Linked DNA regions of Arabidopsis thaliana. The protein of the gene in region 1 interacts with the protein of each later gene in a pairwise test. Each region holds a gene or a part of one and is shown on either strand. Other genes may lie near its edges.

What was found.
Region 2: the proteins of HAM4 (region 1) and AT1G33760 interact in a two-hybrid assay, tested with the Arabidopsis thaliana proteins (one large-scale study listed by BioGRID).
Region 3: the proteins of HAM4 (region 1) and AT5G25790 interact in a two-hybrid assay, tested with the Arabidopsis thaliana proteins (one large-scale study listed by BioGRID).
Region 4: the proteins of HAM4 (region 1) and PYE interact in a two-hybrid assay, tested with the Arabidopsis thaliana proteins (one large-scale study listed by BioGRID).

What each region holds. Positions count from the first base shown.
Region 1 is NC_003075.7:17,304,064-17,308,176, reverse strand, and holds HAM4 (GRAS family transcription factor), read right to left. Parts: upstream 2,420-4,113; 5' UTR 2,118-2,419; coding exon 657-2,117; 3' UTR 529-656; downstream 1-528. Other genes in the region: HVA22K (HVA22-like protein K), read right to left, coding at 2-60, 346-408.
Region 2 is NC_003070.9:12,235,753-12,239,257, reverse strand, and holds AT1G33760 (Integrase-type DNA-binding superfamily protein), read right to left. Parts: upstream 1,712-3,505; 5' UTR 1,315-1,711; coding exon 760-1,314; 3' UTR 548-759; downstream 1-547. Other genes in the region: AT1G33750 (Terpenoid cyclases/Protein prenyltransferases superfamily protein), read right to left, coding at 2,910-3,452.
Region 3 is NC_003076.8:8,976,528-8,981,193, forward strand, and holds AT5G25790 (Tesmin/TSO1-like CXC domain-containing protein), read right to left. Parts: upstream 2,763-4,666; 5' UTR 2,655-2,762; coding exon 2,446-2,654; intron 2,364-2,445; coding exon 2,253-2,363; intron 2,180-2,252; coding exon 2,002-2,179; intron 1,931-2,001; coding exon 1,589-1,930; intron 1,496-1,588; coding exon 1,407-1,495; intron 1,328-1,406; coding exon 1,233-1,327; intron 1,139-1,232; coding exon 648-1,138; 3' UTR 530-647; downstream 1-529. Other genes in the region: EIF3B-2 (eukaryotic translation initiation factor 3B-2), read right to left, coding at 1-4, 119-231; AT5G25800 (Polynucleotidyl transferase, ribonuclease H-like superfamily protein), read right to left, coding at 3,234-3,357, 3,456-3,742, 3,828-4,009, 4,105-4,372, 4,476-4,536, 4,626-4,666. UniProt on the Arabidopsis thaliana protein: Plays a role in development of both male and female reproductive tissues.
Region 4 is NC_003074.8:17,565,306-17,569,961, reverse strand, and holds PYE (basic helix-loop-helix (bHLH) DNA-binding superfamily protein), read right to left. Parts: upstream 2,837-4,656; 5' UTR 2,760-2,836; exon of another isoform or gene 2,758-2,759; intron 2,487-2,757; exon of another isoform or gene 2,269-2,486; intron 2,117-2,268; 5' UTR 2,085-2,116; intron 1,968-2,084; 5' UTR 1,928-1,967; coding exon 1,869-1,927; intron 1,779-1,868; coding exon 1,675-1,778; intron 1,567-1,674; coding exon 1,439-1,566; intron 1,293-1,438; coding exon 861-1,292; 3' UTR 577-860; downstream 1-576. Other genes in the region: AT3G47650 (DnaJ/Hsp40 cysteine-rich domain superfamily protein), read right to left, coding at 57-123, 219-386.

The DNA.
Region 1 (4,113 bases):
CCATGCTGTACGAAGTACGATATTGGAACTAAGTGGAGAGAACAATACACGCAACCCAACCTGAAAATTCCATTGAGAAAAACAATTGTTTCTCTCAATCCAAAAGTTGAGAATATCCACATGATCAGGAATTGAAACACCTCTTTCTCTAATCGGCTTTTGTCAAAGAGTAATCCAAACAAAAAAACAATCCAGTACAGAAGAAATCTGAATTCCAACAAGGCAGAAGATGAAGGAATCCTAAATATACATATTTAATCATAAACTTTATCACGAATCCCCAAATCACGGATCGGAACAAAAGCCGTACAATCGGAAACATCAATCAAACTAAAGGAAGATTACCTCGCCGGTGAGTCCAGATCCAAGAAGCGCCATGGATGGAATCTGTGAAGCAAACCCGCTCATCGGCGATTCGTACGACGGTTTTACCAAATTGACGACGAACTCGCACACTCGCAAAAAAAAGGTCACTTGTGTTTTGAATAGAGGAGATTATGAATCATTAAAAGACTCTAGCTCATACAGAGACTCTTCGTAAGAAATATTTTTATTTCTTTATTTGAAAGATAAACAGCAAAAAGAAAAGAGATATTAAAGGCGGTAAATACAATTATTCTATTCTATATCATATTGTTAAACCAAACCCGGTTTATCTAAAACCGCCAAGCTGATGTGGCAACAAGTGCTCTTCCATGCCAGCACAGCACCAATTCTCCTTGTCGTTTCGCCACGTGGAATCCTCTAACTTGCGCTTTCTCCAATAAACACTCAGCTTGAAAGTCGGCGAACTGGCTTAGCTGTATCGGCCTCATCCCGGCGGCGCAAAACGCTTCCCGCCAAGTCATTTCGCCGGTGTGTCTCCTGTCAGCCGCCGTTTCTACCGCAGCGGAGATCTTCGGTCGTAGAACGAACGCTTCCACTATCTTCTTCACCAAATCTCCGGGAGGAGCTGCAGCGTCGAGCGACTCCAGCACCATCGTGTAGAACTCAAGAGCGCTAACAAACTCTCGCCGGAATGATCCAGATCCGGCGATCTCCGTCCATCCTTCACTATCCACGAATACAACGACCTTAGGTGATACTCTCCGTAAATTGTTAACAAAATCAGTGATTCCACTTAGACGACGAAATATCGCCGGGGAAATCAAAACGACGGTCCTCTCCCCCTCAACAAACCTAATCGCTTTGAAAGATAACATCTCAAAAGTCTTCATCAGCACAAACTCAATCTGGAAACGAATTTTCATCTCCGCCGCGAATTGAGTTAGGTTTTCTTTCACTAGTCGCGTCTCTACGGCGCACTCCTCCGCCACCACTGCCGTAACTCTTAAAAATCCACCGCTTACAGATTTCTCAGTGATTTCTCTCATAAGCGATGCGTATTGGCCACCGAATCCAATCTCAAAATCCACCACGTGAACAAACGGAGAAGACGACTGCGAGCTCAACGAATCGAGTATCGCTTGATTCGCCGTGAAATGAGAGAAGAGAGGGATCGGAGAAATCCCGGAATATTCCTTAATCGCTCGGATCCTCTGAACAATCTCGGACCAAGAAGATAACCGGATTGGATTCCGGTTTGATCCGGTTAAAAACGAACCGAGAGCTTCCTTAAAGTAAAACGCAGCTCTCTGTAACGGTCTACCCGCCGGAGATCTCAAGCGTTGATTAAGCCGTGATAAAACCACCTGAGCGAGTTGTAACTCGTCCGATTCAACACAATCCACGACTCGGATGAGATCTTCAATGAAATCAAATCCTCCATTGTCGACACTATCAAGAGAATTAAAACCGTACCCAGTTGTTTGGTTCTGACCAGGATAAACATCGGAAGACGATTCGAAATCCGACGGTTGAATCTGATCGGGAAAGCCAGGGAGATTTGAATCGACGGCGTAAAGAGGCAAAATAGTAGAATCTGTTGTGGTTGTGGTGAAACCGGTTTTAAGTGAGTTAGGAGCAGAATCGTCATCAAGCTCCAATTCTTTCATGATGGAATCCCAATCCATTGAACGCATGACATGTTCGTCCATTGATAAGTGATTACTATCAGTACTATTAGTGTTGTTGTTGTTGTTGGTCGTGTCTTGAGGAGATGATGCAGGGATTTTCATGTGTTGTGTGTTAAGAAGAAAGAAAGGTGGAGCCTTTAACGAAAAGAAAAAAAGTTTTTTTCTTTCTGTCTTTTTTCTTTGTGTGTGGGAGAAGAAGAAGGTGGCGGGGCTTTTGAAAGGTGAGAGTGGTAAGCTTTTTATCTTTGAGTGAGTGCGTGCAAATAAAGAGATTTCAACTTTGGTAACCGTGTCTGATCCGGGTTTGTTTGGTTTTACAGAATAATATTTATACACGAAACAATCTGATTGACAATGATTTGTATATGATTCCGTTTTTTATTAATAACATACTATTTCACATGAAATTCAACTGAAAGATTTTAAATCAGTTTTTATTTTGTATTAATTTCTCATAATATATCTCCAAAACTATATACTATGCACAACTAGCAACTTCTGTAGCTAATGAAAAGGAAACTTCTACAGCTCTTTAAAGGGATAAAATACAAATAAAGTTCCTCTGCTTTAAAAATAAAAATAAATCATTTGATTGAAAAGAGATCCAAGCTCCACTATGTTGATCATCAAGAATGTGAAAGTTGAAAATAAAAGAGAAAAAGGATGTTTTAAAAAGGTTAATGATTTCTCTCTTTTTTTTGTCTGAGTGGTTTTTTTTCAGTCTTTTTCATCCTAAAATTTTAAACAGTATTTTACAAAAACATTTAACTGAAAGTTTTTTTTTATTACATATGACAATTTAAGTGATCAAAAATAATCTTTCTCAAACATAGCAGCACGGCTATATGTAACTATGTTGTACCTGAGTTTGAGATCAGCGTTAAAATATTTCATATTTGTGGATATTGTTTTCGATCATTAAATCTCATACGTTTTTGACCCAAGTATGGAGATAAATAAAAAACTATGAATCTGCGTTGATTATTCCAATAGGCAATAGGTATATCAACGTTTGGAATTTTTTTTTAAAAGTAGTTTGTGTTGGACAAAAATATTCTTACTAAACAAACTCTACAACGTCGTTTTTATTCTCACTAAACCTAGTTGTTAGTACCACACAAAATACAATATTATGTATTTATTTAGTACCGTGCATATATCACATAATAATCTCAAACTAGTTACAAAAGCTAGAGAGGTTTATTCGATTGATAACCAATAAAAAAGGGGAAAATTGCATGAAACAATTTGAGTCGATGATGTTTAACGGACACTAATCCCCGCTGCTTGCGACAAAAAACAAAGGAAAGGAAAAAGGGAGTGACCACTGGGCTTTATGTGGAGCCCACATAACACGGTAAAAAGCAGGGGGAAAGTAAGCGGGTCCACAATGGGCTAACTTTTGAGGTAATAATGTCGGAGAAAATGACCGAGAAGCCCATGGGCCAGAGATTGACTGATCATTAAGTCAGCGCGTAAGAATCACGCCCACTTCTTTCTTTTGCTTAGCCCCCCACTCTTCTCTCTAACTCGCAAAGGAAAAAGAAAGAATATGTTCTCTCCTTCACTTATTGCTTTCATTTTCATGGAAATTTACCTTCCTTTTTTGTTTTCTTTCTTTTCTATTTGGTTTGGTGTACCAGAATGCAAAACCATTTCCTCAATCTTTTGAATATACTCTCTTTTTTTTTTCCTTGTGTAATTAGGAATGTTTGATCATATTAGGTTAATAACTCACCATTTTCGCAAAATATGGCCTAGTTTGCGAAATTTAAACATCATATAGTTCTCGTGAAGAAAAGCTTCTTCTCATTGAGACATTATTCAACCTTTAATATCGTGGAGAAAAGGTTCCTCTCATTAATACACCTTTTTCCTAACATAATTCAACTTTTTTTCTTACATAAGTCTTCATCTGTGTTATATAATTTAGATTTTATGCGGTATAGCGGCTCAATTAACACACTAAAATACTAAAAGTTCTTTTTGTGGCAACTTTTTTTAGTTGTTTCTCATTAAATTAATGATTAAGCCCACATTTCTGTTATGTTTTAAAAATTTAAGAGAAATAATCAAGTTTAATATTCCACCGTATGAA
Region 2 (3,505 bases), on another chromosome or scaffold:
TTTTACATTATGATCTAATTAAAACTTTAATTTATAATTTCACGCAATTAGGCCTAACAGAAAACTGAACGTATGGGACAATTAAAACATTTCATACTAATATAATATTGACTGCAACAGTTGTTATTGATACTGATTATAGTATATCTTTAGGTAATCAAAGCTTTTCAACGGACTCATGCTCACTATAATATGGAATAAACCTGTACTTTTGAGGCGGCCATAGTACGAATTGGTACGTGCACGTCAGCTCGTGTGTATATATTATGGGTTATATGTGTCTACATAATGGACTTTCATCAAATAATTTTGTTTTTAATAAACCATAGGAGTTTCAGGTTTTTGGTCTATAATCTTACCTATTTTTCGGAGTTAGTCTTATTCCAATTTAACGAATACCACAACGAAAACCGAAGACGAAGCACAAGGTAACCACCCTTTTTTCTAAGTTTTTATAAGATAACATTTTTTTTTCTTGGATTGAGTTTTTTCCTTGGTTTATATTTATTTCTCGTATAAACCATATGATACTATCTGACTGACAAGGAACCAAAACATTACATATATATTGAAAATTTGAATTAATCATATTGGTATTTATGACATCATCATTGTTAAGAGATTACAAATTGAACCCAAGAAAAACAGTAAGGGTCGAAAATTTATTATACTTTACTGAATATAATCGAAAAACCTTGGTTGATGATATGACATTATTAAAAAAAAAATCAAATGGTTAAGCAATTAAGCGAACGTATATCAATTATTAGAATTCCATATGGACTGAAATTGCTGCATTTCAAAAAACTCATCCCTATCGTGCTGACCAAAAAATTGTCCGTATAATTCTTCGTAGTCAGCAACTTCCAAATCCTGCATCCACCCCATCCTCGGCGAGTCTAATGGAGACTCATTAATCGCTTGAATCTGATCCGGAGACAATCCTACTCGAGAAAGTCCTTGACCAGACTCGAGAGCTGGTTCACTCAACCTACCTGGTTTAAACATAAGTGCTGCATCTTGTGCAGCCGCTTGAATGTGCTCCGAACTAGAGCTTTCCGGCCGAGGAAAACTGTCGACGAGTTCCGGAAAGTTGAGATTGGTCCCACGTCCTCGGAGGTGAAGAGCCGCAGCATCGTAGGCCGCTGCAGCCATCTCGGCCGTCTCGTAGCTTCCAAGCCAAATCCTTGTTTTCTTACCGGGTTCTCGGATCTCCGATACCCATTTGCCCCATTTCCTCCGACGAATGCCTCTGTAGGACAACTGGTTAACGTTGAAGCGGTAATCTCGTTGGCCAACGTAAGTGTTTTCCATAATTAATACAAGGTTATTTTAGTAGCACTATATTGTGTGTGTGTGTGTTTGTGAGTGTATATAGAACTGTGCGAATTAGTTTAGAAGTTTTGAGTTATAGAGTCAGTGGTTAAGTGAAATTGTATATATAGAGAAATAAAGAAGACAATAAATGAGGGAATAGAATTTGTGGATGGCTTGTTTGGTTTCAGGTGAAGTGAGCTTCCTACGTAGTTACTTGTGAAGTGGAAATATGCTGTCATGCATGCATGGGTCTCTATTACTTACATGGATATTGTACATTAGCAAAGCTGTCTTTAAGCGTGTACAAATAGTGTGTTGTGTGTATTTGAAAGAAAACGCTGATTGAATATTATTTTTTTGATTGAAGACAAGTTTGATATTTATATGATTTGGGTTCTAAATTTTTTTAGAAATATTTTTTTACACATCAAATATGTTTTCAGTAAAAACTTTGTACATGCCTTCCAAGAAAATTGACATGGCCTTGATAAATATATTTCATATTTGGTATATTCTGGGCCTTAGTTAGATTATAGATATTTAACTTGATCAAAAAGTTCAAAATATTTAAACTTTTCAACTAGGAAATAGATTTCATAGTTCATACTGAGATAAATTAGTGTTTCATATAAAAGATCAATTATTTTAAGTCAAAGTAGTATATTGTGTTTTGTTGTTGTAAGACCAAATGAAAAGAAAAGCAATTAGTCCTTTATATCATGTGTTGGTTAGAACTTTAGGTTCTCGTACAAAAGTCCATATATGCCATATCTCAAGAGTCTTGACAGCAAATATGATAGTAACATTATGTAACTGCCCATAGAGTCATAGACAATTAAGTTGACCAAAATAATGAATTGTTCATAACGAAGAATTGGGGAAAGAAACCCATCTAAATTAACCAAAATTTGATTTTATGAAATTCTAAAACCCGACCAGCAGAAGATCGATGCTCTGTCTCCAAATAATTTCTTGATGTGTAGTAAAACCTCATGAGCCAAATTCCAACCCTAAATAGTTAAATGGCTGCATAATGGTCACCACCGCCACTAAGGCACTAACAACCACACCGTATCGAATTGTGGAAATCCGTACGGTCCATCCGGTGGTCAAAAAAATACTTTCAGTCTTAATCTCACCGCCCATTATATATTGTTGCTTATCTACAAGATTTGGATCCTACATAAGAACTCAACAAGTATAACAAAGTTTTGCTTTCCAGTCTATTTTTTGAACTTATACGTTCCTTGGTTCAAGAACTCATGTGTGTAATTTAATATTATTTGCAAAGAAACATAATTAAGAATTGAATAGTTTAACGTATATAAACATGAATTAAGAATTGAATAGTATAACGTATATAAACATGAATTATGATATTATTTCATTCTTTTGGTCAACTTTCCTTGTCGTTGTGGGTAGTGAAAGTTATAAAAAAAACTTCTATGCAAAATAAATTAAAATAGTAAAAACTAATTGAAACCCCAGGAATTAAAATTTAATGGAAAAATATGTGCATAGAGCAAATTAACAATCATCAATAATAATGGAAAGAGAAATGTAGATGAATTTTTCGGCAAGGAGCCAAGTCTTCAAAGCGGAAGAGGATGGAAGAACAAAGATGTGATGAGATCTTTGAGCTTGCCATTGGGATTGGTGAAATTATCACCCTCCTCGTAATACAGATTGACCAATCGTACAATGTTGAAGCACCGGACCAGAATCGGACGTGACACACTTTTTATCGTCAAGAACTCTTCCATCATTATCTTGTAATTATCTCTAATCATCTTCTTAATTTCTCGAACCGCCAATTCCTTGGTAACATTATGTTGCTTAACGTAACAGTTCACCCCATTAACCACTTCTCCTCTCCTCATCTCCTCCTCGAAGCCGGCTATGTCGTTTGTAAGACGAAATATAACACTTAAAGCTCGTAACATTTTGGGTTTGGATTTGAACCACGCGTTCGTTTGATTCTCCTCACAATCTTCCATCGATATAAAGCTGTACATTGCAAAGCATCTAATCCCTGACGAGTCAAGCCCAAGCTCAATATAGTCATCAAAGGTTGGAACGTGACCTGCTCGTGCCCATTTTGATATTTCAGCGTACGCTCTCCCCATGATCTTAATCTGCAAAATTCTCAATATTAAACACAAACATTAATTTATATGGACATTGATTA
Region 3 (4,666 bases), on another chromosome or scaffold:
ATCACTACCCAATCACCACAGAAACAAATCAACGCAATCAGTTCAAAATACTAAGCGATTTCTCAGATTTGAAACGAAGATTCTAATAGAAGCAGAGATGTAATGGAAAAAATCTCACCTTTCGATCCCAAAGTCGTTTCCAGGAGGAAGTTGGATTGAATCGAGATTAACATCTGACCAATTAATCCCTAACTGAGCTGTTAGGACATCAATATCAACAACCGCCGCCATGATTTCGAATCTTAGAACGAAGTTTCTCTCAATCGATATCGAGGAAGAAGAAGCTTTGAGGATAGAGAGAGAGAGAGAGTGTGTGCCTAGGGTTTTGAGTTTTGTTTGCAGTGTTAAGTCTTAAACCGTTGATTGATGAAGAAGACAGAATATTTTTCTCGGACGGGTCGGGTCGGGTCATGTAATTTGATTGGACCTTTATTATTCCAAAGCCCATTATCAACTAAACAACGATGCAAAGCCCATTATCTTCGATTCTCTGTTTTGCGATATAGTAGTGACAATTTTCACTCATAAACTTCAAACCATTTTTAAATTTTAATTATGTCTAATCTTCCTAATTATTTTTTTAAAATGTGACATGGATCATATGTTAAAAATGAGTATGATCCTAAAAAAAAAATCAAAAAAATTCCCTAAGCAATGTCCCTAATTTGAGTCTCGATGGCTTTGTTCTTCATCTTCTGGTTTCTTTCAACTTGGATTTGTGTTGCTTTTGATATTTTTACCTGCTTAAAATAATGTCTTAAATTAGCACAATCCTCTACTTGTAAATATCTGAACAAGGATACGATATCAAGGTTACCATTTATCCTCGCACGGTTTGAGAGCTGAATGAGATAGTCCCTGAAGATTGACAATATCTGTCTTTCTTGCTCTAAGTAAATCCCCGAGCTTGTGTCTGTGTCTTCTTTCTCTTGGCTTGTTTTCACTCGGGCCGATGTCTCTTTCTCTGACCCGATCTCATGTTCTTCGTCACACATCAATGCACGTGTTGCGGGAGATATAGGCTTCTCGTCCATTCTATTAGCATCAAGGACACAATCTGGTGAGTCATTGATCTCATTAGCAACTCTTTGGGCTCCATCAAGTGAAGAAGGGCCTTTGTCGTTCTTCCTCCCTTTGTCTGTTTCACCATAACAAACATTCTCTTATCAAAGACCTTATTATATGAGGAACGTTAACCTATCATCTTGTACATCTAACGGCATGATATGTACCTGACAATTTATTTGCTACATCAACCGAGTTTGAGACCAAAAGTGAACATAGCTCTCTGACATGATGTGGTTGGAATGTATTTGACCAAGAAGACCTATAGAAGCCATTAGTCAGGTATCACGGTAGTTTCAAATAGGCAATATCATAGAGAAGATGAGTTTGATATTTCCAACCTGTAAGCACTTGTGGTAGATCCGGACACGGCCTTGTTGTTAGGGAGTGAAAATAGAGAATTTTCACCATTTCTTCTAACGTGGTTTGCCTAATTGGAAATAGAAAAACACAAAGAATTATGCTTTCAATGCAAAAACTGAAGCTAAAGACCATGAGATCAACACAGAATTGTACTATTTACCCTCTGGTATTGGACACCGTATGATGAAACTACAGAATCTGAAATGTCCTTGCTCTTTCTCTTTCTTGATTCAGGAGGGTACAGATAAGCAGACATGTCGATGGCACGGTTAACAGCCGCATTGGTCATCTGTTGTATGTAGGTATCCGAGACCTGAGATCCATGAAGAAGAGCTTTTCTTTCTTCGCTTCCTTCAAAGTTCTTGCAGTCTTGACATCTACAATTCTCCGAACATAGAATATTCGCCTGGTAACACTCACAGTACTTCTTGAGACATCCTGATTTCCTGCAGTGGCATCCTTTGCTGTGCTTTCCAATAAGCAACACTTGCTGCACATTCTCCTACAAGTTATAAAACTACCATCAAGCCCTAAAGTTACATCTTTTTTTTTTCAAGTAACAAGATCACAAACCTGCAAATCTTTCATTCCATGAGGACTACCAGCAATCTTGGGCTTAAACGCATCAGGGTTACGCTCTAAGATCCCCGAGATAGCTACTTGTCTCGAAGACTCATTCTCCAATTTGTTGTGACAATTCACACAGTTACAACCATTACAATAAGATCCAGAAGCAAAGCATTCACAATACCTATATAGATCAACAAGACTCTGTATAAACAAAAATATGTTTTTAAACTCTATTAACAAAAATAGATACTTACAGTTTCAAACACTTTGAGTTTTTGCAATTGCAATGTTTTTGTTGTTTATTTGGAGTATTCTCTTTCGATTCAACTTCATTATGTCTTCGTGAGGTCGATGGATCTTGATTGCTACATAATCAAACAATCAAAAATGCTAATTCCTTAAGATTGAAATAGATTTGATGGAACAGAGAAATTAACCAATTTTTACCTCACTCGATTCTTCTGAACTTGGTTGTGACCAAATTGGTGAAGCGGTGGTTTCTGAGGCGGTGTGACTTCCGTTTCTGATTGTTGAGAAGATTTCACCGGAGAACACGGCGGAGGTTCTAGCGACTTTTGAAACGAATCCATCTTCTCCGCAGGGATGGAGATATCTGATTGACGCGGGAGGAGATTCTGATTACTCAAATCTTCCATAGTGAAGAACTATATAAGGAGCAGAGATTGTTTTATGCTTTAAGCTTGAATAGCTCTCTCTTCTTCTTCTTCTTCTTTTGCTTCGTCGTCGTCTCTTTGAGATCTTTTTGAAAAATCAAAAAATTGAATTTTGATGAGAGTTTGATCAACAAAATCTAACGGTTGAGATGAAAAGGGGTTAATCGACGGTTTAGATCGTTTGATTAAGATCGATCTAGGTTTTTAGAGGATACGAGCGGAATTTGGCGCTAAAGGAGAGAGACTCCGAGTGTTTTACACGTGCGGTGGTATTGTTTTTTTTTTTCCTTGGTTTATGATAACCGACCGGTTAAGGTTTTTCCGAATTTAAATTTTATATTTGTTTTGGATTTATTTTCTGTAAATTCATGCTGGAATTGGCCGTTTTTTTTACCTTTTTATTACTGTAAACAAACTTGAAATGTCAACTCTTTTTACTATATGAAAATCGCCATTAATAGATGCTACAAACCAATATTACCAAAAAATACAATACTGAATTGTGAGTTTCTTGTTGCTCATATGGTATACAAGGGAAAAAATTTGGCTTTCTGTTTAAGTTTATTGCTTGATACCTACAAAACAGAGAGCTACTTCGGCTTGTGCTTGAAGCTCTTCAAGAACCTTGACAAGTTTCTCACGGTCAAACCCGATTTCATCCTCATCTTTAAGCATTTTCCGCACTCTTCATATTGCAAGAAAGTAAGAAAATCCAATCAGATTCCAAATCCAGAAGAGATTTGAATGTCTAAACACTTACGATTTGGATAGAGTGCTACAAACCTGTGTACAATGGATGTGTCTCCGTGTCCGGTGCAAACTATAAACATCGCATTTGTAGGTAATGCAGCATAAAGGGATTGGACTCTTTCATTCATTTTCTTTAAGATTTCCTTTGTTTCAGGTGAGACATTGCTTTTCTTAAGGCCGGACTTTTTGTTACATGTAAGCAATGAGATCATCTCGGCTAGTCTGGAGTTTAGTTTCTGTGGATCATCCGCTCTGCTCTGGAAATGTGCATTCAATTCTGAGAACTGTGTCCAAACGAATTGAGACCGCTTGTTCTTTACCTAGAAGCGTACACACACATACATTTTACTTTTATGTAGCTGGCGAGAAATACAGAGGCATAAAAATGGATTCAGAAGTTTTTACCTCCTTCACGGCCTTTGAAAGTGCTTCGTCGTCAGACGAAACTGGAATTGCATTTGATGACTCAGAAGCATATCGCTTCACGATGTTGATATTGTCAATTATAGAAGTCGTTTTCCCGCTCTCATTTAAAACGGCGAGGAGCTTTTTTCTTATCACTTCCGGTGGTGAACCAAAATCAGGTCCTAGAGGAAGCCAGAAAAGAAAATCACTTAAAAAAGGATACATAGAAAATAAAAACAAGAGTTAAATAGCGAGGTTAAGGATAGAAAGTTCTTGCCATGTTTTATCTTCAATAGTGCCAAATCCATGGCTGCTTTTGCATCCTCTGCGCTGTCATGTCCGGATTCAGACTCCTGTATCTCTCTAGCAAGAAACTTTTTTGCTAGAATTCGAAGTTTAGTTTTATAAGATCTTCCATGTGGATGCTTGTATAGTACTGCAGTGTCAATCACCAGATTATGAGAGATCTTCAAAGACAACAAGTCATTTTCCAAGGAGTGTCCGACTAATATGGTCTCTTTGAAAACCAGCTTTAAGAACTCTTCCTGAACATAGCAAACGACTCTAATTATACTAGACCATTACGAGTCTTCATTTCAAACATCCTAATCAGTATCTAATAAGACGTTATAAAGGAAATAGTGAAACCTGAATATCTTTAAGTGTTGTTGTAACTCCCTCCATCATCACAGCTGTTATTCCACTATATCTGCAAACCGATACCAATACTGTGTTTTTTAGGCATATACCTTTTAAGAGGTACTAGAAACAGAATAAAAAATTATTAGCATGGCTTACCTTGTGTTGTAATCAGTAATAGGATTTGTTGGCATGACTAA
Region 4 (4,656 bases), on another chromosome or scaffold:
ACTAACCAATTCAGGAGTAGAAAACTAAGAGAATTATAAAACAGGTAAGAACTTACCTTCCCCTTCACAATTTGCACAAACTAAACTGTTTGGTTTAGTGCCCTGAGGATTATTGTTTGCGGCCTATTGATACCACAGAATGAGATTTTGCATTAACGAAATGGTCAATGAAGTAAGCAAATTTTATAGAGAAGAGAAGAGTTTGGGAAAATTCTAACCTTAACTTCAAAACTTTGGGATCTTGAAGTCTGAAGCAGTTCTCTCTTCTGTACCAAGGAAGAGGTGTTATCATTAGTTGAGAAGAAGTGAGAAGGTTTAGGGTTTTTGCTTGGAGATTGGAAGCAAAAGGTAGGAGGAGAAGAGAAGAAGCATAGTGAATTCGCCATTTTCTGTTTTCTGATTCTTCTTACCCACTCGATAGCAAAGATAAGATGGCTCCTCTCACTTCTCTTTTTCTCAAGTGCCTATTTTACCAAAATACCATCATATTCTTTATCCAATCCAAACCAAAACCTATTAACCGGTTTTGTCTTTTAAACCCAATTTCACATTTTAGTTTCCATTAGAAAGCTTTTTTCTTAAAAAGAAATTTGATTTTTTTTGTTCTGTTTCTGTGTTTTTAGAATCTTAAGACAAAAGAAAATGACAATGGTTAGAGCTAATTTACTTATTTATCTCAAACGACCCATCAAGGCCATAACTTCCTGATCCTATGAACAACCATCAAAAACAAGAAATAGCCAAGGCCAAACCCACAAGGACATCAGAACGATGTATTAAAAAATACAAAACCAGAGTCCTTCATAAGTTGCCATGTCTTATAACTTGCGTTGCTACTCCATGTGGAGCCGTTCAAGACCTCATTCACTGGCTTTCAGCCGCTCTCCAAGTAGCCGAGAAGACCACGAGTCAGCCGCGCTAGCATACCTTGGACATGGCTTACTCACATTTGAGCTATTAAACATCAAAGGCTGCTGCGCTTGAGTCATTTCTGAGATATCTTGTGTCTGGGGATCAGGTTGTATTGGAAGGACAAGAACTGTTGCAGGAGGATGAAGAGTTGTAGCAGATTGTTGAAAGCCGGGGCCTTGGAAAATGGGAAGTCCTGGGAACTGAGATACACGTTCAGGATGTTGTTGTTGATAATGATGATGATGGTACTCGGGTGCAGGAGAGGTGTTCAAGTCAGGTTTCGACTGATTCGCTCTAGCTTCAATCTCGTTTTGTAGTTTCGAAATCTCAGTCTCAAGCACTGATGTTTCTTCCTTGAGCTCATTCTTCTCTGTGGTTACCTACACACAACACCAGTTTCCATCAACAAGACCATTTAGAAAAATACAAAGATGAAGTAACTTCTTGAAGCAACATTCGTCTTAGTTGTTGATTCACGTCACAGAATACATAAACACAATCAATGTGCATATAGAAATTGACTTACATAGCTAGATTCAGATAGGAGAGAAGCATGCTCCTTTCTAAGAGACTCAATTTGACCAAACACGTCCTTCAAGAATCGAGTAGCTTCGCATAGTATAGAAGCTTTCCCACTGTTCTGTTGATTCAGTTCTGCAACAAAGAAACATGTTCACAGTTAGATATCACAATCACATTCAAAATATCACAACACACTCGAGCAATTGTTCATTCAAATCTACGGAAAGATGAGAAATTTACCAAGAGTATCGGCTAATTCAATGAAAAGCTCATTCAAATGCTCACGCTTAAGCCTCTCACGAACGGCCTTGTTGATCCTTTTCGGTACTTTACCTTTTCTACATCTGTTTTATACACCAAACATAATCAATCCCCATAAATAAAAATAAAAGGTTCCATAATCTATTTCCAAGAATTGTCTCCTTAAGAATCACCTTTCATCTGCAGTAGCATTTGCTTCATCAGACGATGTAGAAGGAGTTTTCGATACCATCTTTGCTTTTATTACAGAACAAGATTCTCTGTCAAGTCACCTAAAATTTAGACATAAGATGATTAATCAAAAAGAACAGTGATCTTAATGAATCTAACAAATCATTCATCTTTATAATCAATCAATCACTCCTAATGTCAAATAAACACAAACGCACCAAGAAACATAGGAGCAGAAAAAAAAAAAAAACTTTCGTGTGATTTTTGATTCCTCAAAAACTGAAGCAAGTGTTTTAGATTCTGTCTTTATTACCCATATTCTTGTCAAATCAAATAGTGAAGAATAATTCTCAAAAATTACGGCTAAGTTCTCAACACAACAGATTCAGAGAAAAGAACTACCTTTCTTTCTCCGGTGAGAATCTCGTCGGAAACTGTAGACGATTAGGATTCGAAACGAGTAGAAGAAATAATAAGAGAATCTGAGAAAATGAAGAGTGAAATTGTTTTTTTTGGAGGAAGAAGGTCCGAAGTTGAGGAGGGCGTGTGGAGGCGCGTGGAGAGCACAGAAGAAGGTGGTGCGTTTAAGTGGACACGTGAGTTCGACATGTGCCTTTCTCTTTTTTACTTTTGTCTTCTTCTCTTACGTTGCGTGCCACTAAAGCTCATCTCTCATGGACACGTCATCGTATCTTTAATTAATAAAATAATAATATTAATCGAGTGGAAGAGTGGTTTAAATCGGGTAAAGTTCTATTAATGGAAATGTTTGTTGAGTGTAAATAACATTGTATTTTCTACAGATTAATCGGGTAAAAAGTTGTACTATCTGTTTAAGAATTTTATCGAGTAGATGAAAAGTAACATTTTCACAAAAATATACCGTAGAACACCAAAAAAAAAAAACAGGGGCATGTGGGGTCAACGTGAAGGATAATAAAGGCATGGAAACGCGCCGTCGAGAGCTGATGACGTGTCTGTCGTGTGTTTCCCACAAACTCTATTTATTGACGGTATGATGATTAGTATACACATTTTTAATGGCATAGTCAAATTCAGTGGGTGAGGAAAAATTGAAGATAGGAAATTAAAAAGAAATAACGAAATTATATTAATCTGCCTATTCCTCTTCTCCTTCATTTTGAATTCAAAAACCGAAATACTATATATAGTTTTGCGGTTCGAATGATGACTGTATTTTGTGATACGGAAAAAGTATGGGACGGTTCAAATAATAACAAAAATACATAGATATATATGTATATATAGAGATTTTTTATACTGTTACAGTTACGGTACGGTTTTGGGGGCGGTCTATGTCACCATTCATACACTGTGATTAAGAAACATACAAAAGGCGTTTTCTTGTTTTTTTATTAAAACTACAATACAGTTACCAATCAATACTTTTAACAAATTTGCGTTTTTCGAAAAAAAAAAGAAAAAAGTTTGCAATTTTGTCCTAAAAACAATACACTGGAATGCTTTTCAAAAGAAGAAAAATCATTTACCTAGTGTTTTTGCTCAAAACCGCATTCCAACAAAAAAATCGTTCATTACTCCATTACTTAAGCAAATTGTTATGTCCTACGTCCCAACCAAAAGTTTCTCAGCCTTTGCCTCTTCCATACACACATCCCTCGTTTATTACTCCATTACTTAAGCAAATTTTAATTTTTTTTCCATTAGCTTCCCCATTTAAATATATGTACAAAAAAAGAGAGTATATGTGTGCATCAGAATCACTAGTTACCTAGTGCATAAAAGAAAAAAATATACGTAGGACATAACAATTTGCTTAACTAATGGACTTTAATATATATATATATATATATATATATATATATATATATATGCAATAATTATAGTTTTATTCTTTTTATTTAATTAAAATCTAAGAAAATGTAATTACAAGAAATAGAAATATCATAATACTTATAGAAATTTTGACAATTATTATCCACTATAAGCTTATATAAGTTCTATAATCAATTTACTAGTAAAAAATTATGATTTTTTTTTCAATTTTTTATGATGAAACTATTCAACGAATTTAATAATATGTATGTTAAACTTTAAAAATGTATATTTTGATTTATTTATGTATTAATAATTTATAAATATATGTTATTGCTTATTTATTAACACAAAAATAATAATTAATTATTAATATATATATATATATATAATTTATAATCCGCACCGCAAATAATTTTTTCATCAATCAAACATTATTCTGTACCGCTTATTTTGTACAAACCATATTTGTCCCGCAAATATATTTTTCTCGCACGTACCGTAATTGAACTGTACTGCAATGTTATACCACTTTTCTCACATATTAAAAACCGAGGTTACCATTCGGACCATAATATATTTTTTCATCAATTGTTTGCATTATAAAAAGAAAAAAAAAAAGAAGAACAAATCGGAGGGTTCAGATTTCAGAAACAAAATACCGAACCGCTAGGTCGTTGGTTTTGCCGGTTCGTTTGCACCGGGATTTTAGAGCTAGACAGGGACCAAATAATTAAGCGGATCGTGGGTATTACCGGTCCGGGTCCGGAAAAACATCTGTTAGAAACTAATCTCGTTTGGCCCAAACCCAAAAAAGCTAGCTTCACGGCGTTTGTTGTTCTTCCTCGCTCTTCGCCGCCTTCACTCGCAGTCGCAGGTAAGCTTCTTCAATTCCCCTCTTAAATCAACTAACGCTTCCTAATTCCTCCTCTGGCTTCGTTCCTCTCCTTTTTTCCAAGGTTTGTGTCAATCTGAAATCAAAATGATCAAATG